Alligator mississippiensis: one gene and its partner. The protein of the gene in region 2 purifies or fractionates together with the protein of the main gene of each other region. This does not show direct contact. Links are inferred from orthologs where the notes say so. Each region holds a gene or a part of one and is shown on either strand. Other genes may lie near its edges.

Evidence for each region.
Region 1: the proteins of GOLGA7 (region 2) and ZDHHC5 purify together in Homo sapiens (co-immunoprecipitation; 3 studies listed by BioGRID and IntAct, with this or other methods). This does not show direct contact. The link is inferred for Alligator mississippiensis from reciprocal best matches to the Homo sapiens genes GOLGA7 and ZDHHC5.

The regions. Positions count from the first base shown.
Region 1 is NC_081825.1:172,569,769-172,573,677, forward strand, and holds the start of ZDHHC5 (palmitoyltransferase ZDHHC5), read right to left. Parts: upstream 2,425-3,909; 5' UTR 2,265-2,424; intron 1-2,264. UniProt on the Homo sapiens protein: Palmitoyltransferase that catalyzes the addition of palmitate onto various protein substrates such as CTNND2, CD36, GSDMD, NLRP3, NOD1, NOD2, STAT3 and S1PR1 thus plays a role in various biological processes including cell adhesion, inflammation, fatty acid uptake, bacterial sensing or cardiac functions.
Region 2 is NC_081830.1:17,408,361-17,412,269, forward strand, and holds the start of GOLGA7 (golgin subfamily A member 7), read right to left. Parts: upstream 2,770-3,909; 5' UTR 2,644-2,769; coding exon 2,533-2,643; intron 823-2,532; coding exon 670-822; intron 1-669. UniProt on the Homo sapiens protein: May be involved in protein transport from Golgi to cell surface. The ZDHHC9-GOLGA7 complex is a palmitoyltransferase specific for HRAS and NRAS.

The DNA of each region.
Region 1 (3,909 bases), on a different chromosome or scaffold from region 2:
TCTAGACCAGAGAGCTGTCTTGGGGCCAAGGATCAGCAAACTGCATACCTGGTGCCACCACTTCTCCCCCATGCCTCCCTCCTGCTGTGGCATGGATGAGCTTCCAACTGGTTGGGAACTGTGCTGACCACGCAGGTTCCGACTGTGCCTACACTGCAACGGGCAGGGGGAAGGGGGGAAACGGCAGCAACACAGACACAGTTTGCAGATATCTGCTCCTGGTGCAATGCCACACTGGCTGGAAAATGTACCTGGCCTACAACATGGGATCAGGGCCCTGGGAGAAGCAGCGGTAGTGTGGGGGCTGCTCCCAGCTGCATAACTCCAGAGTGGGCATGAGGAAAGCTCCCCTGCTATCAACATGCTGCAAAAGCCACCCAAACAGAATTGCACCAGAGTCAGGTTGTTCTGGCCGCAACTTGTAAAAGGCTGTTGGCTCCTGAATAAGGCAATTTTCTTCTACTTTTTCCCTTTTAAGAAATGATTCTTTAGAAAATATGAGCTCATATCAGGGCAGACAAGTTAATGATGCTGTGGAGGACTAACTTTTGTATTTCCTTACTTCTAGTCCCAATTGTGACACCCACATTTTGCCTGGATATAGTGTTATGTACTTAGCTTTATTTTTGGAGAAAAGTGGAAACACAAACAAAGCGACCAAAGTCTGACTCCAAAGCTAACAGGAGTGGTATCTGCTGCCGTAATTTGTACTGTTACTAAACACTAATACCCTACTTTCCATCCACAGGTCTAAAAATGCTTTACAAAGGATTCTCCCTATGTTACAGGTGAAGCACAGGGATGTCTTACCCATGCTGCAGCTTGGTTCACAAAGACGGGAACGAACTCCATATTTTGTGTCCTATCAATAAAGACTCACTACCACCAGAAGTACTGGTCAGGAGCAGAAGCAATGGACACATTCCACAGCCTGCCATAAATCAGCCTAATCTAGTCTAGGCTTTAAAAGGTGTGATGTTACACCAAGCTAGAAAGCTCAAACTAATTAACACCATCTCAGGCTAGTCAAGAAAAATCCAATGCATTTTAGGAGAAACTAGGATGAATCAGAGCCTCCTCCTAAAACTACAGTTACTTGGCCTTGACTAGAGTCTGATAGTGTCATTTAGATCAAGCTTCTTTGAACATCGCTCCTTTAAGTCTGAATCTAGACAAAGTCTTAGTTACATTTGCTGATCCAGAAAGACTCACAATGGGATGACACCAACCAGAAAAACGCCATCTAAAATAAGACTGCTTAGAGAAATTTCAAACTGCATAAGACAACGTTACAAGAAACCATTTCCTGAAAGCAGGATCCACGTAAGCTATGCATGCATTCAAAGTCTGCTTTCCCTTGATCTGTGAGCAGAGTGAAAAGGCAGAACAGGTAAAGTTTGACAGACTTAAATGTCGGCCTTAATTTAATGTGGGGGCATTATCTCAAGAGGATATAACATAACACTGGAAACTAGTCATGTGGGGTTATATGCCAGCCTGCATTGGGGTTATAATTTTAACAGTTTCATAGCTCACGGGTAAAAGTGATCTCAAACATGTCCCAACAAAATATCTGTATGTAGCCACAACAAATATGGAGAGAGGCCCGTGGAGAGCTACTGGATTGAGCCCAGGCAGCAGGAGCGGGCACAGGCCAGCATTTAGAGCCAAAGGAAGAGCCCGAGGCTCTGGGAAGGGCCTGGAGAAGGGGGAGAAGGGACCCACCAGGCCGTATCAGAAGCAGAGAGGCCCGGGCTCTCTTTTGAGCAGATCATTTCTCAGGAACCAGGGAAGAGAGAGGCCTGCCTGCCCCCTTGCTCAGTGCTGGGGCTGGTCCAGCGTGGCCGGGCAGGGAGGGGGGCAGGGCCGGGCCGGGCCGAGGCGCTGGCAACACCGCACCTTTACTTCAGCAAAGCGGTGCCCACCCGCCCCCGGCTCTGCCCAGCGCCCGGCACGCGCGCGGGCACCGGCCCCAACGGCCCAGCCACGGCGCGGGGGCGACAGACACCCCGAGCGGCGGCCGGCCCGGCCCGGCCCGGCCGCTGCGACCTGTTGGCCGGCGGCTCCGCGGGGCGGGGCGGGGCCGTCCCCAGTGCAGGAGCAAGCAGCCGGGCCGGGCCGGGTCGGGCCAGGGCTGTCACCGGGCGCCGTGGGGGGCCAGGCGCCGGCCTCGCTCTCCGCAGGCCGCTCCCGGCCCCGGCCCGAGCGCTGTCCCGGGGGTGGGGCGGCCCCGGCGGAGGTGAGGCGTGCCCGGTCGCACTTACCCGCTGGCCCCGGCCCGGTGCGACCACGCGGCCCAGGCAGCAAAGAAGCCGCGCGCCCCCACCCGCGCGCTCGGGGTCGGGCTCGCGCCGCACCACTCTCCGCTCTGCTCTGCCGCCGGTTGGTGGCGGCCGCGCACGCCGCCCCGCGCCTGCGCCCGCGCCTGCACCGCCCCCGTGAGCGCTGATTGGCTGCTATGGGCCGGGTGCAGGGGGTGGACGTTTCCCCAGCTTCGCCATTCCTCAGGTCTGCGCCTGCGCCAAGTCAGAGACGGGCAGGGGGGAGGGGGAAAGAGACGCTCTCTGAGCATGCGCCCAGCGACCAAACGTGGAGGAGATCTGAAGTCTTCCCCCCTATGCCAGAAGGCCGCATTTGGTATTGCTCAAAACTGATTGATAGCAAGCGTAACCAATCAGCCCTCACGCCCCGAACTCCTATGACAAAAGTGTGCTGGTATTGGCTGCTCAGGTAGACCCGCTTTAAAGGTCTCCCCCGCCCGGAAGTCGGGTTGTTCAGGCAGGGTTCCGGGTCCTAGCGTCCACCTACTTGTTTGCGCGTCCTGCTGGCTCGGCGATGAAGCTCTCGGTTCTGCTGCACCTGAGGATGGAGTTACACAAGCTCCTAGGCAGGCACCGGGCCCCGGAGCCCCCCACGTGCCAGCGTGCAGTGGCGGAGGCGCTTCCCTGCCCCGTCACTTCTGCAGCAGCCCGCAGGTGCTACCCCCCGGCCTCCCTGCGCTTCCCCCGCTGCCCAGCACGGGCGAGGGCAAGCGGGAGCTGCAGCAGCGGGGCACGAGAGAGGGCAGCCTTGGAGTGGGGAGGGCTGGGGCACTGCGGAGGAAGGTGCCCCGGAGGGGACTGGCAGCCCACAGCAGCAGCCCTCAGCCCTAAAGGTCGCCAACCCCGAGCTCCGGGGACACAGCGCGACTGCGAAGCAGCTGTGTCAGGACAGGGTGATGGCTCAGTAGCAGGGAGCGCCCTGCAGCATGGACCGATTGCCTCTAAGGCTGCAGCAGGAGATGGCTGTGGGGTGAGCTGCAACAGTACCAGTGTAAGAAAGTCTGAATGCTGCGTGTTGGCCTACTTATTGGGGTGTGTGTTGCATAATGATGTTGGTTCGTTTCAATATAGAGGCCTAAAAGGAGGAAAAAACAGGTGAGGAGGGGTAAAAAGGATGACTCACTCCTCCACAAACCTGTCAGGGTTGTAAAGGGAAAATGCTAGCATAGAAAGACGCCAGTGGATGGAGGGGATTCAGAATACCGCAGTTTAATGATGAACTCTCAGTGAAAAGAAAGCTGTTCAGGTCTGCACTGTGGAAAACCAGGAACCTGCTCACAAACAGGCACTTGGACCCCGCAGCCAAGGACTGTATTAAAATGGGACTAAGTGAAATGTACTGGTACTACAGAAAGAAGAGGACGACCGGAAAGAAATGGCAGGCCTCATCTGGTGGAGAGCGGTCTGGCATAGACTTTTTCAGGATTAGCCCCTGTGAGGAGAGCAGTGGGTGGGGGTACTGGTATAGGGATAGGTGCAGTGCAAACTGTGTAATGGATTTTTAGTGTGCTTGAAGCTGCCAAGTAAACCACAAGGGCCACTTGGCAGAGTGGAGGTGGAGTTTATATTTATTTATTTAAATAAATAC
Region 2 (3,909 bases):
CTGAACACTATTCTTTCAGGCTAGTAAGAACCCCTCCCAACTTCTCAGCTCAGGAAGCTTTTTCTGTCCAAAGTCTTTGGTTTCTTATCTCTGAATTGGGCACATCTCCACTTTCTTCAAAGAATAAATGGAAGCAAGCCAGACAGATATCCAGCTCAGATCCCATTTGCATCTCCGCCAAGCCCCCAGGAAGGGAAACTGGAGATGCCCTCTCCCTCACCTCAGTCCATTACGAGGATCACAAAATGACTGCATGACTGATTCCCCATAAAGAATTCCTGCAAATCACCCAGCCTGTACAAGGGACACCATAGGCCAGGTATATTTAATCAAACATAAGTTTTCATGAGTGAACTGTCAGGTGAGAGTTTCAGTGTGACACTGTGTATTTAGATAAAAAGTGAGTAAAATGGAAAAATGATCACAGCATGAAATCCGCCCTTTATGTGGAGAGTCAAACAGAATCTATTTCATACGTAACAGTTGAGCAAGAGGGGAGCAGATCTGACACACAAGGAATTTCAGGAAGTCGGTCTGGCATGAGAGTTTATTTCGGCTTTGTACTAGAGACTTCACTGTGCTACTCATCACTGTAAATGAAGTAAGTCTTCAATTAATGTAGTGTTGAGTGTTGTCTTTCAGGTCATAAAGCAAATCAAACTGGCTTACCTTTTCATAATGTGTCTCCATGCACAAGAAGATAGTGTAGGCAGTCAGGCAGGCCAGACAACCTTCGAGATAAGATTGGCCCCCAAGTTTCTCGGCTTCTGCATACAGGTTATTCAGAGTTCGCACAGTCTCTTCAAACTGCTGCCGATCGATCTGCAGAAAAGTCCAAGTTCAGCAAGCATGCTCAGCAAGTGAGCTCCACTGACCTCCTGTACAGACATCCACCTCACTTTTACCTTTTACAGCTGTAACCTACACTGCCACTGAGAGACCGTTTGCTTCAAACAGGCACCGTGGAGAGAGCCACAGCTCCGTTTAGTATAAAACGGCCTCCAAAAACGGCAGCTCTTGTTCAATTTTCAGCTAAGCAATTACATCAAGAATGAATTCTACCACAACTGAAATGCTGTGCCCGCAAGCGAGCACAGATAAGAATTGGGGTCTGATGTGAAAAGAACAGATCAGAGGGAAACAGACTCGGGATTTAAACCACTATTCAATGAAAGAGCATATAGGCAAATCTCTATCTGAATAAGGCCTCAAGTATGGGGGATTGTTGCTCCAGTGCCAATCAAGCTTGTGAGTGATATAAACAAAGATGTATCAGATTTGATGTGAAAGAGAAGGCAAACGTAGCCTAAGTGATATTTGCCAACAACAAGAAATGCACAAAATATTTGACCAGGAGGAGTTACTCCACTAGTTGAAGGAAGTGTTGCAAATAACAAAACCCCGCACATTGATAGAAAATATAAGAGGGTGTTTGTGATGCTGCTGAAGCGCAGGCTCAACAGAACGGCCTTGTCAGAGGATGGGTTTCTATACAACAATACATGCCTTATTTCTCAGTGCCCCGGCTGCCCTTTGTGTTGTGACAAGGGCACAGATCAGAGAGAGAATCAAAACAGAAGGGTTTCATAATTGTTGGAAGTTAGACTTGTAGGCACATTTGTATGTCTAGATTTCTACATCACATTCAAAGTTCGGTATTTTCTAATTACTGTTTGCATAGGCAAGAAGCAAGAGTGTGGAGGGCATTTCTACTTCCCTGCCCACAGGAACCTACCCTTTATTTAACTACAAAATGTCCCTTTCAGCTAAAATCCCAAAGATCAGTTTAGGTCAATTTGAAGACAACTAATCATTTTGCAGACTTTTGTCCCCCAGGAAAGCAATGCTACCCAGCATGTAGAGGGAACAAGACTACTCGCCTTGCTCACTCAAAACAACAGCGTCAAGTAAACACAGGAGGACAGCCATCTGCTCTGGGCCATTTAGACAGGGACTATTTCATCTCGCTGCTGTCAGACAAACCGAGCCTCCCAAGCCACTTGTGTCAAAGCAGCGTGGCGTGACCTCGCACGCTCCGACACACCCGTGTCCCCAGACACTGTAGGTGCCCGGGGTGCAGGACACAGCCCTTAGCTCATACCGCAGGAGCTTTAACACCCGGGCTCTCGGCAGGCATTCGTGCCACCCTGGCGCGAGCATAGAAACGCTAAGAGCGGGGACCTCGGGGGCGACTGGAGCCGGAGGCTGAGGGTCAATCTGGCGGCTTTCGTCATGCTTTGTAACAGGGGCACTCCCACACGGCCGTGGCTTTAATTATATGTCTTTAATAAGCAGGTGCTTGGCACGAACCACTCATTCGTGAAACATGCTGTTTTCCAGGAGGAGCGAGCAGGAAGCGACAAGCAACTCGGCGGTGTCCTCCAACCTGCGACACGCACACCACTACCATTACTGTGTATGACCAACTTGGCAATTACTTTACGTGACCCAAACGTGCCGGGGGGACTTAAGGCGGTCCTATTTTAAGCCGCCATAACAGCTCCCGGGTGACAGCCCCCGGGCCGGCCTTACCCGCGTCTCCAGCTCGGCTGGGAACTTGGTCTGGAACTGGCAGCGGGTGCCGCTGCTGTAGTCGCGCTGCACGAACACCTTCCCCGACACGGGCGCCGGCTGCGGCCTCATAGCGCGGGCCTACGGGCACGGGCCGTCCGCCTGTCGCCGCCACCCCCGCGGGCCCGATCCCGGTCCCGGTCCCCGAGCCCTCCCTGCACGGGCCAAGCTTGCCCAGCCGCTGTCGCGCCGCGCGCAGCCTCACTTACGGCTGTCGCAAACGCGCCGTCACCCACCCGGGGGTGCGCATGCGTCAGTGGGGCGGGGCGGGGCGGTGGTGTGGGTGGTGCGTGCGCAGGCTTGTGGGCGCTGCCACGTGTGCGAGGCTTTGAGCCCGTCTCCTCGAGCGCCCGTCGGTTGTGGGTGCAGCATCTGCAACCCCCACAAGCCCCTCTCAGGGACTCTCAGCTTTGCTTCCTCAGGACCTCCAGATAAATGGTTCGGTTTGGATAGCCCGGTTCTGGCTCTCTCGCTTACCATGAGCAGCATACAGAAAAATACTTGTTTTACATATTTTTCGGGGTACGGTACTTTCCCCCCCCAGCAAATTACAATCATTTTTTGAGCTTTCAATGCAATCGTTTGGTATTTAAGATCTGGCCAAGCTAGGCTGGGCAGTGCAGCTGCAAGAGTGGGCCCGTGCATGGCGGCCCCCTCATGGCCCGCTTCTGTCGCACACAATGTGTTGTGGTGCAGGGTAGCAGGAGCGTGGTGACCCCCCCTTGGCACAGCACAAGGGACACAGGGGTGCGGGACTCCCCAGCAGCTGCTCCGCCGCCTCTGTCAAGCTGTGGGCAAACTGCCCAGCATCCCGGCTTGAGGCACACGGTGCTCCTGTTGCACAGGCGTGTTCTGCGCTGTTGCAGCAGGGGATGAGCAAGCACAGCTTGCAGTGCCTTCGCCTCCCCCAGCTCTGTCGCTGTCCACACGCACTGCTTTGGGGCACCACGCTGCACCCCGGTGTCCTCTGCTGCCCCACTTAATCCTGTGCCCAGAGAAGTGGGGGTTGAATATGTCACACAGTAAGGCACTGGCACCCTGACCCCAGGAAGGAGGCATCCTGCTGGGGCTGCAGGAGTGTGGTGCTGAGCTATGGGCAGCACTTTACTCTGCTGGGGCTGCGTCCAGGTGTGCACGGATGTTTGGTTCCCCGGGGACGAGGAGCGGCAGCACACCTCGTACCACTGCCTTGTCCCCAGGGAACGCCCATGCCATGGACACAATGGCACACCGCAGGTTGCCCTGGGGAGGGGAGGGGAGGCCGGGGCCAGCAGCTGTGTTGACCCCAGCAGCTTTCCCTAGGGGCCAGGGAGCCTGGCCAGCAGCCAGAGCATGGCT